Struthio camelus: one gene and its partner. The protein of the gene in region 2 interacts with the protein of the main gene of each other region in a pairwise test. Links are inferred from orthologs where the notes say so. Each region holds a gene or a part of one and is shown on either strand. Other genes may lie near its edges.

Region 1 (8,434 bases), about 120 Mb from region 2:
GCTCAATGCAATTGGCGCTTGAATCGGACACATCGATCCCCAGGGTGGCCTCCTGTCTGTATGCTGGAGACAAAATCCCACAGAACAAGAAAGACTTAACGTGAGAATCCAGTACATATTTGAGCTCTTCTACATTTGGGAGGAAACAAATGAGATGATGAGAAAGAAAAAAAAAGTCGAAAATCTATGATTTTGACAGGTCTCAGTCATTTGAAAAGTTGCCTTTTTAGGAGCCTTGGACAGCAACTTTCTACATCTAAAGATCAACAAATAGGTGCATGTCAGTGTAATAAGCAGAATAAATTTCTGCCTTTCTGCCACAACCTGAATTAGAGAGAGAAGACAGTTTCTGTCCAGTCAAGTCCGAAATGGGAAGAACTACTCTCAATTTGTTAATCAAGTTTAGAAATCCACTTTAATAACTCATTATTCCTTATTCTTTTTAACAAAAATGCATCACCAATCTATTCTAAGTCACAAAAATATTGACATTAGATATGATTTGAGAGTGGCTGCATGATTTATATAAACTAACAGATAAAGTGTTTTGTTCCTACAGTCATAGTCACCCCACCTTATCAATTATTGACAGATTATAGTCAGGGTGGTATGAGGGAAGAGGGAAGTAAAGTAATTTCATGAGTTATCACAGCTACTCAAAGCAATCATTTATTCTGGTCATTGTTCTGCCCTCCCGGTAGTGTTTAAGTTGTATTATGGAAATATTGCCAACTTTACAGTTTGGTACAGCAGTTATTATAGGAGTAAATAGAGTGAGCCAACATGACGGAGCCAGCCAAGTGCAGCGAGTTGTGTCACCCTTACGACTCTTGCTGATAAGCTTCTCCCCAGCCGCATTCTTGCCTTCTTGCAAGGTAAAGCTCCAAAAAGGCGGACATCCAAGAGGGATGACCATGGCCAAAAATAATGTAGGTAATCCACCTACAGGCATGTTATGGATTGGCCTGTCACTGTCAAAAAACAAAAGAAGAGGAAAGATGCTATAAAGTGACAACATGTTAAGTTATGCCTTACGTGCCTCCCATCTGACATTTCACAGCATTCTGCAAAGTTATTAGAGCTTATCGTCCTGGATCCTTCTTGCTTGTTTTTTTGAAATGGATTAGCTGTGCTGCAGCATAGCTAACTGCTTAAGACCGCACAGAGCAGTGACTGGGAGAGAATGCAGTGCCCTTGACTCCCAGTAAAAGCAGCTTTTGGAAATTCCTGTTAACCGGATAGTTTAATTTAAAGGGGAGGGAGACATAATTCAATAAGAAGAGATTGAGGAAAAGTGCAAAAGCACTTATGAGTTCTGTTTTTTGGAATAGGATGTTTTTTTTCAGATCCACTAACTGTGCCTACAAGCATTGCTTCTCCAAGTACTTTGTAATGCTTTTAATGCCAGCAATAATGATGAGAGCTCTAGCACAGACAGACAGGAATTTGTTGGCATTTTCGCTAGCATGCTGACCACTAGTAATAGCTGGGGAATTTAGGGGAAAAAAAAAAATCTCTTGTAAACCAGGCTGTGTTGAATGGTATTTAAGACGTAACATATTCTTGCAGAGCAGCTAGCAAGACTGAAGCTTTGATTTTTGGAGGAAGATAATGTTTGGAGGATTATGAGCTTGTCCCCACTTTATTCTACTCACGGAACTACTCTATATCAGATAAACAGCATTTCCAGAACTGGGTCCTAACTCAAGTTAATTATTTTTTAAAACATTTATTCTCTGAATATCTTTTCTTCAGTTAAAAAAATTCTGCTTTTACTCAGAACCACTGGTCTACTCATTAGTTGCTCTAGATGAGAAAAAGAAAAAACAAAAAAAGGGTCAGAAAAAGTCCACAGCATAAAGCAGGATATGGTAAGCCCATGGACATTCCCAGCACGCTATCACCCTCCCCTCACGATGACTGTGTTAATTATAGTTTCCTCACCAGCCATAGCAAAACCTCCCAAAATCACTTTGTCTTCGGGGTCGCAGACCCACTTCTCGCAGCACTCTCCGGGGACTTCGATTTTTCTCGGGAAAGGGCAGTCGGGGCCGGGGAGCAGCAGGTCCAGGTTGCAGCGGGGCAGGCAGCCGATCTGCCCGTCGCGGCAGGTGCATTGGTACTTGCAGCTGGGCTGGAACGTCTCCCCGTTCCGGTAAATCATCCCGTCGAACACACAGTTGTCTCCTTCCAGCACTGGTGAGAAAGGCGGACGGCTGTCACTGGGGGGACGGTCAGGGCCCTCTCCGTCCCTCTCACAACCCCGAGGTGTGTTTTATCAGCAGGCCAAGGGGCCGGCGCTCACGCTGCCCGCCGCCACACGCCCGCAGGAGCCCAAGCGAAGGCGCCGTAGCATCCTTAGGCGCTTCACGGGGAGAGCTTGGCCCTGCTGTCTGGGCGCGCCGCGCGCCCGCGCTCCTCCTAAGCGGAGAGCGGGGCCACCTTTCGGCACCCCGGGGCACCCCGTAAAGCCCCTGGGTGCGCGGAGCTAAGGGCAGTGCTGAGGCGGGCTCGCCTCCTGCGGGCTCAGGCAGGGGCAGGGCGGCCGCAGGGCGCGGGGCAAAGGTGGGACATTTCGCCCCGTGGGCTCAAAGGGCCCTCGAGAGGCGGCGGGGCCTCTCCCCGCTCCGGGGGAAGGGCCGCGAGTGGGGCCGCCGCCGCCGCCACCTACCCATGCAGATGCCGGTGGCGCCGCCGTCGTCGGGGCCGCGGTCGCAGTAGAGGCCGCTGCTCTCGTCGCAGGGCAGCAGCGGGGAGCAGCTCTCGCCGCGCTGCCGGGCGCACACCAGGCAGCAGGAGCAGCCGTCCAGGACGGCGGGCACCCCCGGGGGGCAGCGCGGCGGCGCCGCCGGGCACGGCCCGCCGCACGGCCGGGGGCAGGCCGCCTCCCGGCCGCTCACCTGCGGGGACAAAGCGGCCCCGAGGGCCCGGTCACGGCACCGGCGCGGCCGCCGGCTGCCCGCACGGCGCGGCCGCGGGGCCCGGCAGCCGCCCCCCCCCCCCCCCCCGGCCCCCGGCCCGGGCCGCCCGCACTTGCCTGGCACAGCAGCGGCAGGAGCAGCAGCGGCGGCAGCAGGCGCTGCCCGCCGCCCCTCGGCATGGTCCCGACCCGGCCTCCCCGCGGCGCCGCTCGCCTCTGCCGCCAGGGCCATTGCGGCCGCTTATATAGAGCCCGTCGGGGACGGCGGCGCGGCCCGGGGGCGGGGAGCTGGAGCTGGAGCTGGAGCTGGAGCTGGAGCTGGAGCTGGAGCTGGAGCCAGGCCCGCGCCCCCGCCCCCGCCACCTGCCCCGCGAAGCGACAGCCCCCCCCGGGCCGCCCCTCCCCCTCGGGGCAGCCCGCGATCCCCCCCCCGTGCCCCCCCTCCCTCTCGGGGCAGCCCCGCGATCCCCCCTCGGGGCAGCCCGCGATCCCCCCCCGGGCCCCCCCTCCCCCTCGGGGCAGCCCCGCGATCCCCCCACGGGGCAGCCCGCGATCTCCCCCGGGCCCCCCCTCCCCCTCGGGGCAGCCCGCGATCCCCCCCCCCGTGCCCCCCCTCCCTCTCGGGGCAGCCCCGCGATCCCCCCTCGGGGCAGCCCGCGATCCACCCCTGGCCCCCCCTCCCTCTTGGGGCAGCCCGCGATCCCCCCTCGGGGCAGCCCGCGATCCCCCCCCGGGCCCCCCCTCCCCCTCGGGGCAGCCCGCGATCCCCCCTCGGGGCAGCCCGCGATCCACCCCTGGCCCCCCCTCCCTCTTGGGGCAGCCCGCGATCCCCCCTCGGGGCAGCCCGTGATCCCCCCTCGGGGCAGCTCGCGATCCCCCCTCGGGGCAGCCCGCGATCCCCCCTCGGGGCAGCTCGCAATCCCCCCTCGGGGCAGCCCGCGATCCCCCCCGGGCCCCCCCTCCCCTCGGGGCAGCCCGCGATCCCCCCTCGGGGCAGCTCGCAATCCCCCCTCGGGGCAGCCCGCGATCCCCCCCGGGCCCCCCCTCCCCCTCGGGGTAGCCCACGATCCCCCCTCGGGGCAGCCCGCGATCCCCCCACGGGGCAGCCCGCGATCCCCCCTCGGGGCAGCCCGCGATCCCCCCTCGGGGCAGCTCGCGATCCCCCCCGGGCCCCCCCTCCCCTCGGGGCAGCCCGTGATCCCCCCTCGGGGCAGCCCGCGATCCCCCCGGGCCCCTCCTCCCCCTCGGGGCAGCTCGCGATCCCCCCTCGGGGCAGCCCGCGATCCCCCCTCGGAGCAGCTCGCGATCCCCCCTCGGGGCAGCCCGCGATCCCCCCTCGGGGCAGCTCGCGATCCCCCCTCGGGGCAGCCCGCGATCCCCCCTCGGAGCAGCTCGCGATCCCCCCTCGGGGCAGCCTGCGATCCCCTCTCGGGACAGCTCGCAATCCCCCCTCGGGGCAGCCCGCGATCCACCCCTGGCCCCCCCTCCCCCTCGGGGCAGCCCGCGATCCACCCCTGGCCCCCCCTCCCCCTCGGGGCAGCCCGCAATCCCCCCTCGGGGCAGCTCGCGATCCCCTCTCGGGGCAGCCTGCGATCCCCTCTCGGGGCAGCTCGCAATCCCCCCTCGGGGCAGCCCGCGATCCCCCCTCGGGGCAGCTCGTGATCCTCTCTTCGGGCAGCCCGCGATCCCCCCTCGGGGCAGCCCGCGATCCCCCCCGGGCCCCCCCTCCCCTCGGGGCAGCCCGCGATCCCCCCTCGGGGCAGCCCGCGATCCCCCCCGGGCCCCCCCTCCCCTCGGGGCAGCCCGCGATCCCCCCTCGGGGCAGCTCGCAATCCCCCCTTGGGGCAGCCCGCGATCCCCCCCGGGCCCCCCCTCCCCTCGGGGCAGCCCGCGATCCCCCCTCGGGGCAGCCCGCGATCCCCCCTTGGGGCAGCTCGCAATCCCCCCTCGGGGCAGCCCGCGATCCCCCCCGGGCCCCCCCTCCCCCTCGGGGTAGCCCACGATCCCCCCTCGGGGCAGCCCGCGATCCCCCCACGGGGCAGCCCGCGATCCCCCCTCGGGGCAGCTCGCGATCCCCCCCGGGCCCCCCCTCCCCTCGGGGCAGCCCGCGATCCCCCCTCGGGGCAGCTCGTGATCCTTTCTTCGGGCAGCCTGCGATCCTCCCTTGGGGCACCCTGCGATCCCCTCCCCAGGGCAGCCTGTGGTCCCCACCAGGGGCAGCTTGTGGTCCGCCTCACAGTGTCCCGCTCCCCGGCCCCTTCACGGGAGTGGGCACCCCAGGGGAAAGCGGGTCCCTGAGCAGTGGGAAGGCCTGGGGTGCCACCGTGCTGGTGGCCCTTCCCCCGGGGCGCGTGGTGGTGCCTGAGCCCTGAGGCGAGTGCCTTCCCGCAGCCCTCCACTGCCACCCCATGTGGCTGGTCACTGCTCGCTTGGTCTGCGGTAAGCGACTCAGGGTTTGCCTGCATGCCAGCTCCTATGCAAGCGCTAGACCTTACACCACGATTTATACATCCTGCTGAAGCCAACGCCACCTCTCTGTTGTAGCTGCCTGGCGAGGGATTAGACTACGTCCTGGTCCAGTCTGTGGAGACTGGTCACCCCAAATGTAAGTACCTCTCAGGAGCCTGGGCAGCTTTCGACCCTTGTGTTTCAACCCTTCTTGAACTTTTTGAACAACCTTTCAGTGTTACAGGGGGCATGAAAGGACCCTGATGATAACATAAGGCATTGTAGGGGTGACATACTCGCTTCATAAACTCTTTGCTTGCCAACTTGTAGGTGCTGATCATCAGCAGAGAGGTCCCGGTGTATCGGCATGTCGGAAGCAGAAATTGCACGGGGAGCCCTTCGCACTCTGCAGCACGAACCTCCTGGGATGAGCTGAAGAGATACCAGACTCATCGGTGCTTATTTGTGTGTGTGTGACCATGAAATACGCAGATCCCAACAAGTCAAGCCTTAGGAATGTTTTGGAGACATAACTGCTGTGCTCTGTGCCGTGAAGTTATTTTAGAGTACGCGGGACTGATCCAGGCCAAGCATAAGGGAGACTAAATCTATTAACGTGTTTTACTTGTCAGGAATTGTTTTCTGCCCAAGGCTTTCTTGGGTCTTTCTAGGATACAGATATTCCATATCCCCAGTTGACTGCAGCAGATAATGTGCGCTGGATTCTGTTGTGGCTTGTTAAAGAGAAAGTATTTGAAAAATAAACAAAAGTTGAAGACAGACTAGTGAAAACAGGACGCCTTTTAAGCTTAAGACATGACACAAGTGGTACTCATGAATTTACAAGGCTGCTGTAGCTCTAAGCCAAAGCAGTGCTCAGCACAAAAACAGGAATCGTCATATACAGGTTTTGCTTTGGACAAAAGTCACCATTCCTTTCTTGAAGTTATGTAGCAACAGCTGGTTTTCTAAAGAGATCTGTCATCTGAAGGGAAGTAGCCTTCACCAGCACAGGGTTAGTAACCTGCAGTCATACATTAACCCTTCATTTTCTCACTCATAAGCAACAGGACCAGGCAAGGAAAAATAGGATTGTTCAAACCTTATTAACTACTTGGGTGTAGGTTTGAGGTTATTTCAGTCATCCACTGGATTTCACCTTCCTTTATTTTTCTTTTATTTTTCTTTTTCTTTCTTTTTCTTTTTTTTTCTTTTTCTATTTTTCTTTTTTTCTTTTCTTTTTCTTTTTATTTTTCTTTTTCCTTTGCTTCTTTGCCTCATAACTCTGATTTAGGTAGTGCAAACCCATTTTTTACAGTAGCACTCCTTGCTTGTGAGCAGGATGACCAGTGCTGTTGGCCAAGCACTAAAATTTGCTAAAAAGAAACAAGGCTGTTCCTGTAGTTTTCCCAGAAGCAGGGCTCTAAGCCAGAGGACAAAGGTCCATTTTTGTCTGTCCCTCTGCATGGGAATCTGATGAGGTTTTCAAGGCCAACAGTCATTCACAGCCACTGAAAGTTACCTCCTTTTCAAATGAGGTTATTTCACAACACCCTTAAATATCTTCTTATCTATTAAAAAGGCTTCACCACATAAAACTGGAGATAGAATCAAATAAACGAAAAGAACATTTACCAGTGTACTTAAATTCAATACAAGGAAAGTCTTGCATGGTGCCCAGTGAGAAGAAACCAAGTCAGTAATCTATAATACCTAAACGTTTGGGTCATAACCTGTATAGGTATGTAAAAGGCTAACTGAGGCCCATGGAGAACAAATGCTGAAGTGTTCTGTAATCTTAGCTTTAAAATTCAACTTCTAATTGCTGTGAATGCTTTAAGGAAGCCAGGTAATGTGTCTCATGTGTCACTTAAGCATTGTCAAGGCGCAAAGTGCTTTTCAGCTGTCTTTTCTGTCTGAGAGAGATGCAGGTTTGTGCTCAGGGCAGAGGACATATCCCAAACTCGGCAACAGCTGCCACGAGCCTCTGCATTGCCCTGTAACAGCCTTCCAGGCAAAGACTTCTCCCTCTGGATTGCCATAAACCTGCCTTGGGCTAAATCTGTGGCAGGGGTGCCTGAACATGTTCTTTCATTCAGATCCTAACCTCCATTGAGCTAATAGCCCTGAAAGTGTTACTTTTACTCATCGCCTTGCACAAGACCAGATGGTTTATGCATGTTTCACCACTGCAACTTCTGAGGAAGCTCTGTCTAAAAGGCTGGGATCAGAGGCTGCAAGTAAAACTGGCTTAATTCTTAGAGAGTTTCTAGGTGCTGATCCTCTTCACATCCAGAGGTGTTTAGACATATATCCAGCATTAGAAACCTTCAAGGATTCACAGCAACATCTCACTGTTTAAAGCCAGCTGCCTGGCTCAGGAGATGTCCAAGCCCACTGCCTCACAACAAACAGGCCCACAGAGATCTCTTCCATTTTCCATGTACGGCAAATGATGTCATTTTTAGTGAGTAAAATTGTCATAAATACCACTTCTTTATCTTTCTCTATCTGTCCTCTTCTGTCCTACCATTTTTTACCAATACAAGTGTAATGTGGATGCACTGCGCGGCATTATGCTGTAAATTGATGCCCCTTCTTGTACTCTTCTACCTCACAAGCACACAGTATTTTTCTTGAAGTAATCCAGTAATCTGTAATCCAGTAATCTTGAAGTAATCCAGTAATCTGGGATTTCTGGCTAGCCCTTCTTAGTCTAGATGACAGCTGCAGATTCCTATCACCTACTGAGGGTGTTGATACTGCACATGCCCTAAACAGGGAACAAACAAAAATTATATAAACACTGCAGTAATTTTTTAATATCAATTATATTGATATATAATGGGCGCTTTCCATATACATGACATGTGACATTAATAGCAAGGCAGCACGCTTAGTAACAAACTGCATCGATTCTTCCCCCAGCGTCTGTTAGCAGCACACGAGGTTCTCCTGCCACAAGCGAAGTGACTGTAACTGAAGCAGCCCCATCTGTCTGAGCTAGGAGAGATGCTGGGAGGAGGTCTATGAGGTGTGCATGGTGGTGGTCACCTGAATGAGTGG
Region 2 (8,415 bases):
GGAATGGGAGTTTGCCAGAAGCACACTGCCAGGCAGCTGGGAGCCACCTCCCACCTTTCCAGCCGATCAGGTCCTGGAGGTGGCAGCTTGGGAGGGAAGGAAAGGGAAGCAGGACCAGCTTAGTGCCCGGGCTAATTAAACGTGCAGCCCTTAGCGAGGGGCCTGCGATGTGAGGAGAGACTGGCTGAAGACAGTTTCTGCTTTTGAATTGTGCTCTGTTTATAGAAGTGTCAACATCCATCTCGAGGTGAAAAGGTTAGCACTTGACCCAGGAAGTTCTCGTGTGTGTGCTTCAAAAATAGATCTGGATCATAAATTCCGCCTTGCTACAGTGGACGGAGAGGAGGGCTTATATTTTCTAAAAATAATATTATTCGAGTGTAGAAAAGGAAGAAAGTTTGTGTTATGAATCAGACTGGACAGCCCGAGCTCTGACCCCGGCCAAAAAAAAAAAAAAAAAAAAAAAAAACACGTCAGGAGTAATGTTGGGATGTTCTTTCTCCCTTTCTCCCTGAGAAAGGCCCCATCAGAAGAAAATAATGGAGAGTAAACTGCTGAGCTGAGCCGGTGACTCATCAGTGACGTCACGCAGAGGTACGCACACAAGGGATACCTGAAAGTTGAATATATTTATTACAGACATTATAAGGACCCGTAGATTGTGCCCTGGATTCCCTCAGTCCCAGAATCGCAGAGCCTTTGATGATTGTACAGGAGACGAGGAAGATAGTTCGCTCACACACGACAACTGATAGAACTCAGTGTACCCGGAGTACAGCAAAGCACTGTGCATCATGCAAACTTCCAGACACGAATCACATAAAATATACATTCATTTGGCCAGTCGTCACATTTACGATTAGATTGAAAAGACGTCGAGTCTAAAGGAGGGTTAATATGAAAACAGGAAGAGGTGAGGTCTTTTGGACAGTTATACCCTTCGGTTCAATATAATCCAGCACAGACTTCTGTCGGGGGAGGGGGGAGGGAAAGCACACCGGGTAAGGTTTTCAAAACCTAGTGCAATTGAAGCCTTGTTTGTCACACTTAAACAAATAGCGCTACTCTTTGAGGTATCTGCTTGAGCTTAACACGTTTAACTTGATACGGTCGTCTGCTTTAACAATATAAAATTGGATCCAGTTTTGCGAATGCACCCACCCTGCTTAACCTGATAATCTAAACGTCATTTCTAGAAAAATCTGTAAAAAGATAAATCTCTCGGACAAAGTATTTACAAGCAACAAACTCATAGACGCGAACAAAGAATACATTAAATTAAAGGATGAAAGTCCTGTAAGTCGTGTAAACACTTCCAATAGTGCATCTCTTCGTGAGGTTATGTACCCTAGATAGCCTGTCTTTCACTCAGGGGGAACTTGAAGAAAGGTCTTTGCAACGGAGGAGAGAGACCCTTACACATGTGCCAACACATCTCCTCCAGCCAAAGGGGAACAGAGAGAAAATGTCCTCTTGGCCCCGAGGCCCGGGGGCCGGGGGGGCGCGGAGCGGGCGGCTGCCCGCGACGGGGCGGGCGTTTGGGGCACCGGGGCTCTGAAGGAGACCAACCAGCCAACACACACACACAACAGCGTTAAATCGGTTCGAGCTACGGTAGGGAGGCGGCTTGGGAGTCGCGAGTCCAAGCCAGGGAGCACCCAGGTGCGTCTCAGTTTGAGGTAGCAAGAGTGTCTGAGGTAGAGGAGGATGGCGAGGCAGTGCAGGGCGACGAGCAGGACTTCTCTGATAACTCCTCCGCTTTCTCCTCACAGCCCGTGGGGGTGGCGGGAGAGATGGGTAGCAGCCCCTCTTTCTCTCTTTTCTTCTGCTTCATCCTGCGGTTCTGGAACCAGATCTTGACCTGCGTCTCGTTGAGTTGCAGGGAGGCTGCAATCTCCACCCTCCTGGCCCTGGTCAGGTACTTGTTGAAATGAAACTCTTTCTCCAGTTCTGTGAGCTGCTTGGTGGTGAAATTAGTTCTGACCGTGTTGGGCTGCCCCACGAAGCCGTACTCGCCAGCCTTTCCTGCAAAAGGGGACATCCAGCATTAAGTAAGCGCAAGTGATTTATAGGCGACGTAATCAATGTGTCCACACCGGCTAAGCGATAGGGAGCAAGAACTTCTTAGGATAAGAGGGAAGCCCCGGCAGGGTGAGTGATGGAGTGCGAGGTGCTAAACTGGACTCAGCCTCTAGTGTCAGAGGAAACTTGATAAGTGGTTTATGAATTACAAGAAATATGACCGCGGGGGGGGGGGGGGGGGTAGGCACAGGCAGCGCTGACTTTGAGCGTAGCGGGCAGACGGCGGCGGCTGCTCTCGGGGGTCTCGGGCGCTTTACCTGCAAAGCAAACGGACGGGACACCTGTGCGCCGCCGGCCGCGGGGGCTGTGCTTTGCCTCGCCTTGGCTTTACCGACGGAAGAGAGAGAAAGGAGCTCGCCCCCCCCCCCCTCCTCAGGCCCTCCCGTCCTGCAGCCGGGGACTAACCTGTTTTGGGTGGGTTTCTCTTGACTTTCATCCAGTCAAAGGTCTGCGCGGGCGGCGAGGTCTCCGCGGACGGGGAGCGGGCGTTTTCCTGGTGGCTGGCGTGGAGAGGAGACAGGGCATGGTTATAGGTGCCCAGCGGCAGGCTCTGCTGCTCCTGTCCGTAGGGGGGGTGCACGTACTGAGCGGGGCCCCCCGCGTAGCCCTGGTGCGGGTGCTGCGCGGCGGCGGCGGAGGAGAGGCTGCCCGAGTACACCGCGGGCGCGCAGGGGGGGAAGCCGGCGCCGAGCTCCGCGTCTTGCCCGAGGGGGTAGGGGCTGTACGCCGCGCCGAAGCCCTGCGCGCCGTACGTCGGGCCGCAGCCGGCGTGCGAGTAGGAGACCCCCAGGCCGCCGTGGGGCTGGTAGGCGGCGGGCTGGGCCGGGGGGTGGTGGTGGCGGTGGGGGCTGATCTGCACCCCGCGGCCCACGAGGAAGCGGTCCTCCCCGCTGCAGCTGCCGGCGCTGACGGCGCAGGGCTGGAAAGTTGTAATCCCGTGGTCGGGGTGGTAGGCGCGGGCGGCGCAGCCCCCGGCCTCGCCGCCGAGGACGGGGTACTCGAGGAAGGAGCTCATCCTCGCCGTGTCCCTCTGTCACGCCGCCACCGGGTCTTCAGCGTCCGGCGGGGCCGCGCCAACTTTCCCACTTCCTCCATGGGGCCGGGAGGAAAATGACACGAAGGTACAGCGAGCGGGGAGGCACGTGGGGGGCGGCAGCCAATGGCTGCGGCGCCTGCGGGACTTTCCCGGCTCCTGCCGCTGATAGATCGCCGCGTCGGGGGCATTTAAACGCCGAGCGCTCCGACGGCGCGGCACGGCGCGGCGCGGCGCCGCGGGGCACGGTGGCCGCCCCGGGGGGGGGGCCCGCTCGCCCGCCCGCCCGCCCGCCCGCCCGTCGAGAGGGGAAGGCAGCAGAGAGCCTGGCGGCTGCGCCCGTGCCCCGGAGCCCACCGGCCGTCCCCTCCAGGGTGAGTGATGCCGCAGCGTCCCCGCCGAGGGTTGCCCCAGCGCCTCCCCTGCTGCCGGCGCTGTCAGGCTGGCGATCGGCACCCTCGACCCACTTCCTCCCCCCGCCGCCGCCGCCGCCGCCTCTCTCTCCCGGGCATGAGCCGCGGCGGGGCGGCAGCCGGACCCACGGCACGGGGGGAGGCCGGGACAGGCTCTGAGAGCATCAGGCCTGGGGACGGGCACGGGCACGGGGCCGCGGATGGGCACGGGCACGGGGCTGGGGACGGGCACTCCCGCTGCTGCTGCTGCCCCGCCGCAGAGCCCAGCGCGACGCGCCGCCAAGAGTTAAAGGGGCTTGTCCAGCCGCATCACCAGGCGGCCGCGGACATTAGCATGGAAATGAGGCGCTTTTGGGACTGACGGCCATTGTGCTCGGCCGGGCCCCCCGGCCTCCCCCCGGCCCGGCTCCCCGCTCCCCCCACACCTCCGCCGGGCTCGCCCGCGCCAGCCTGGGGCTGTGGTAGGGGAGGGGGAGCTGGTGGCAGGGAGATGGGAGATGCCCGCCAAGGTGACGGGGCCGGGGACCCGTCTGCCAGCACTGCTGCCGCCCCGCACTCCCCTAGGCCCGGGCGGGGGCGGAAAGCTGCCCGGGGGGCGCAGGTCGCGGCCCGCCAGCCCGGGGCCGGGGCTGCGGAGCGGCGGGGAGATGCAAAGCCCGCCGCCCCGTCCCCTTTGTCCCGGCTCCGCCACCCGGGCTGGCAGTGGCGGGAGGTGGCAGATGGCCAATGGCAGAGGTGGCCCCAGGACCCTTGGGAACCGCACTGAGCATCGACTCCAACTCCCCCTTCCCCCCCTCCCCCAAAAAGGGTCCATGGGTAGAAAAGGAGGGATGGCGGCTGGGATTTGAATTGCGACCTCATACTCGCTTTGCGTATGCAAAAAAGGCAAGGGGAGGTATAGATCGGGCATCCACCCGTCCCAGGGCACCTATCCATCTGTAGGGAGAGGGGACGGCACCAACAAACCGATTTCAGCACACTTCAGAGAGGCGTCCTGCGAAAGGTTAACCTAGGGGAGAGATGGGTAAGAACTAATACTCCCACTAGCAGCAGCAGCTCCGTGAGCAGCTGCCTTCTGTATTCCTGCAGGTGCATTTCCAGCCCGATCGTACATCGCTAGGTTCTCAGGCTTTGTTGTTTTCTTCTGAAGCCCAAAAAGCTTCTCTACCCTGCCACCTCTCCCTGCTCACAAACACTTAACACACACACACACACACACACACACACACACACACAGACACACACACACACACACACACGCAAACCCACAAGCTCCTCCCATCTGAACTACAACATCCTCTCCTGGGTGCAAGGCTCTCCTACTGCTGTCAGGTCAGCCCTTATCCCACTCCATCTGCAAGGCCTCTCTGCGGCCAGCAAAAACTGAGGGACTGCCCATGCTTAACCATATGCCCTTAGTATTTCTGTTTGCTTTCATTTACTGCGCAGGCACGAATGAGTAAGAGCCCTCTGGAAAGGTTCGGTTTCTTAAACTCCGGTGGGGACGTGGCGGGGAGGAGTAACAACAAAACTCCAGAGGCATTTATGGAATTATACGGCACCATTTTTGGCTATGGTAACGGATGTAAACACATTTATTTCATTCTTGTAAAGCAGTTGTGATAAATACTGCATAAGGCAAAGGAAAAGGCAGGCCGCTGGGACTGTTTACTAATAAAAGAGCTGGCGTCTTTTCAGGGCTTTTTTACAACAGCTGGCCAAGAAAAAGGCATATTTTGCTATAAATAGATCGGGTTTACCCGTAAATCCTGCCAAATTACAACACCTCTCTTACAGCCTCCTGCATCCCGGAATCTTTTTTTGTTTGTTTGTTTGTTTTCTCGTATATTCGTGCCATTGTTCAGCAGAGATCCCTCTCTTTTGTTACATTGTCTCTCTCACAGTGCCTCGGATTTTTGCTGCCAATACTGTGCATGGGGGCAACATAATAAGGAGGGCCAGAGCAGAGGGAAAAATGCCCCTCCACCACCCGCCGAGTGGAGCTGCCCCCTCTCCGCTCCCAGAGGCGCCCGGCGGGCCCCTCTCCCCTCCGAGCCCCCTTTGTGGCTCGCTCCGGGCCGGGGTGCAGAAAGTGCCATTTCCTGCCCAGAGCTGGGAGAGAAGGGGGCAATTCCGGTGCTTAAGGCTTTTTCGTGGGAGATCTCGCATGCCCTCCCACCCCCCAGTACCCCCGCTATGGCCCTAGGGCTTATCGAGAGAGACTTAGGCGGCTCCTGTCTGCTGAATCGCCCGATTTGTTTAAACCGAGTGTGGGAAAAGTTTAAATCTGGTAGCATATTTTTCTTTGTTTCTTTTGTTTTGTTTTGTTTTGTTTTTTAAGCGTTAGCAGTATTCAGATATCTAGGCACAAAAGAAATCCCAGCCCATACCCGCACATTGCAATCCAGTTTAACCCAGTGCCACAGGAGTTAAAATACCGGTGAGGCTACTCGCTTTCCGCAGAGCCGGGGCTGGAGCAGAGAGAAGGACAAGAAGCAGGGCCGAGGTTTTGCCGCGTCCGCAGCTCAGCCAAGCTGTTGTTTTAAAAGAGCAATAAAAATGAATTATGACTAAACGCCTTCTCACTTAATGGTTTTAGACGGGGATCCCCAGCCCCGGCAAATACGTAAGAGGATTTTTATTTGTGCATGTGTTCCTGCAATTGATCTCTTTGATGACATTCTCATTCATAGAAAGAGTTTGATTTATGACTTTCGGAAGAATTGCGTTCAGCCCTTCCAGCTATAACCCACGCAGCTCAGCTCCACAACGTGTTGCAGGGCTGGGAGACAGCACTCCTCGCACGGACGGGCAGCGAAGTGCTTTCCCCAAACCCTCGCTCAGGCTGCGTTCTCGTGTGCACACGCACACTCACACTCCCACACTCACACTCACACACGCAGAGACATACACAGCCAGGGACCAACGATCCCTCGGGCTCTGCTCGCCCCCGGAGCCGGGAGCCGCCGGCTCGCATCTGTTGCTCGGCTTCAGCCCGCCGGACACGGCTCGCCCCCCGCTCCGGGCTCCGGCAATGCCGCTCAGCGAGTCGCAGGCAATTTGCTGGAGGTTTTTTACGCCCATCTTTGCTGCCTCAAGCAGAGAGCGGGGAGCCCTGAGGAAATTTCTACTCGGAAAGTAAGAGTTCCCCCTTTTCGTTATCAGCCATTCCGCTCGCAATCGGGTTTAAAGAGAAAATACCTTGCGCTGGGTCCCCGCACTTTCCCTCAAAATAAGCAAGTGGAGGGTGTATTCTCCCTAATGCTTTTTTTTAATGCTTTTATGGCACCTTTTTGATTTTGCAGGCAATAACTTTTTTTTTCCTCTCTTTTTAGGGCTGTTTTCTTGGACCGCTCAGCACGTGGACACGAATCAAACGCACTCTCTGTGAGGTTTTATATTTTAAGATACGCTTCCTGAAACAGCTTGCTGGCTGCTAAGTACTGTATTCTAGAAAAATAGGATTTTTTTTCCGAAAAGAGCCCTTCGTGTATGTAACAGGCTAGTTTCTGCAGGAAACACTTTTCCGACTAAGTCTAGCTTATGTTTTGCCTGCAACAAAAAAAAAAGTGCACCGTTATGCTTTTGTTACAGTTTAGAATATCCAAGCTTTGTATCCGCACGGAGATAACATGCTACGTTTATATATTAAAAGGAAGAAGCCTCTATCTAAGTTGTTTTAGTTTGTGTTTTTTTCTTGTGAGAACCCTTGCAATAAAGAGTTTGACAGTGTTTTTTCCTCTCTAAAACATGTACTTTCCAAAAGGGGAGAGATTATAGTCAGAATGTTGAATTTTCATTATTAGTAAATTAATAATAGAAGGCAGGGGGAGAAATATCCGTTATGTTATCAGTCTTGAAAGGAGAGAAAGAGAAAGAGAAAGGGAGAAAGAGAAAGAAAAAAGAGAAAGCTTCTTGTAGCAAACAAGAATTTATTCTACCAAAAATACTTATGACAACGCATCCTAATGTAATACAAAAATAAAAAGAAAGTGAAGATACAATTCCTATATGATCACTTTCTTACAGACCTCATATATTGCTTTCATAGAAGGACCTAGAATGTGGCTCGGTTAAAACTGAACACAACTAAAACTTCATAAGAAACGGTAAAATGGCTCTCGAACACAGCAAAGGGAGGTAATAAACAGAAAATACTGACCGAGAAAAAGGGGAGGGGGGGAATAAAATTAATTCACTGGAAAAATAAAGAAGAATAAGGAGGAGAAGGCAGGACCCTTGAGAGGACGTCTTTAATTCTCAGTAATTCAGATGCTGCAAGTCAATTGTGGTGAGTGTGTCTGTAAAAAAGTCAAAACTGTCAGCAGAAATATCTACGGGACTGTCCAGAGATCCTGGCAAACTGGGGGAAACTGCATCTGAAAGCTGCAGGCAGGAATCTGTGGAGAAAACGCTAAAGTCCTGTAAAGAAGGGACATCTAGGGCCTCAGGACTGTCATTGTTTAGGCCAGCTGCACAGTTCTGGGCCATTGTTGAGAGGCAGTTTTGAACAGTGGGTGACTGATGTTGAAAATGTTTCAGATTTTTCTCATTGCTCGTTAAAGGCGAAACGGGGAAACTTTGGGACTCTCCATTGTGCACATTGGGAGCCTGCTGCTGAGACAGTGCATTCTGCTGGAAAGTGTAACCTTCCCTTTCCAAAAGAGCTCCGGAGACGTTGCTGAGGGCTTGTTCAAAGAGGGATTTCTCCTCCTCCTCCTCTTCTTCTGCCGCTTTCTCCGGGTCCTCTAGGCTCTTAAATTTCCCCTCACTGTTTTGGTTCTCCTTGCACTGGGTCTGTCTCTTGTGCTTCATCCTTCTGTTCTGGAACCAGACTTTGACTTGTCTCTCAGTCAAATCCAGCAAAGCTGCGATCTCAACCCTCCT

What was found.
Region 1: the proteins of HOXA1 (region 2) and CCN3 interact in binary tests that used the Homo sapiens proteins (3 or more experiments, as listed by UniProt). The link is inferred for Struthio camelus from reciprocal best matches to the Homo sapiens genes HOXA1 and CCN3.

What each region holds. Positions count from the first base shown.
Region 1 is NC_090943.1:158,445,322-158,453,755, reverse strand, and holds the start of CCN3 (CCN family member 3), read right to left. Parts: upstream 3,101-8,434; coding exon 3,038-3,100; intron 2,901-3,037; coding exon 2,672-2,900; intron 2,197-2,671; coding exon 1,945-2,196; intron 64-1,944; coding exon 1-63. UniProt on the Homo sapiens protein: Immediate-early protein playing a role in various cellular processes including proliferation, adhesion, migration, differentiation and survival. Acts by binding to integrins or membrane receptors such as NOTCH1.
Region 2 is NC_090943.1:39,093,931-39,102,345, forward strand, and holds HOXA1 (homeobox protein Hox-A1), read right to left. Parts: upstream 3,373-8,415; 5' UTR 3,098-3,372; coding exon 2,488-3,097; intron 2,026-2,487; coding exon 1,670-2,025; 3' UTR 611-1,669; downstream 1-610. Other genes in the region: HOXA2 (homeobox protein Hox-A2), read right to left, coding at 7,789-8,415. UniProt on the Homo sapiens protein: Sequence-specific transcription factor. Regulates multiple developmental processes including brainstem, inner and outer ear, abducens nerve and cardiovascular development and morphogenesis as well as cognition and behavior.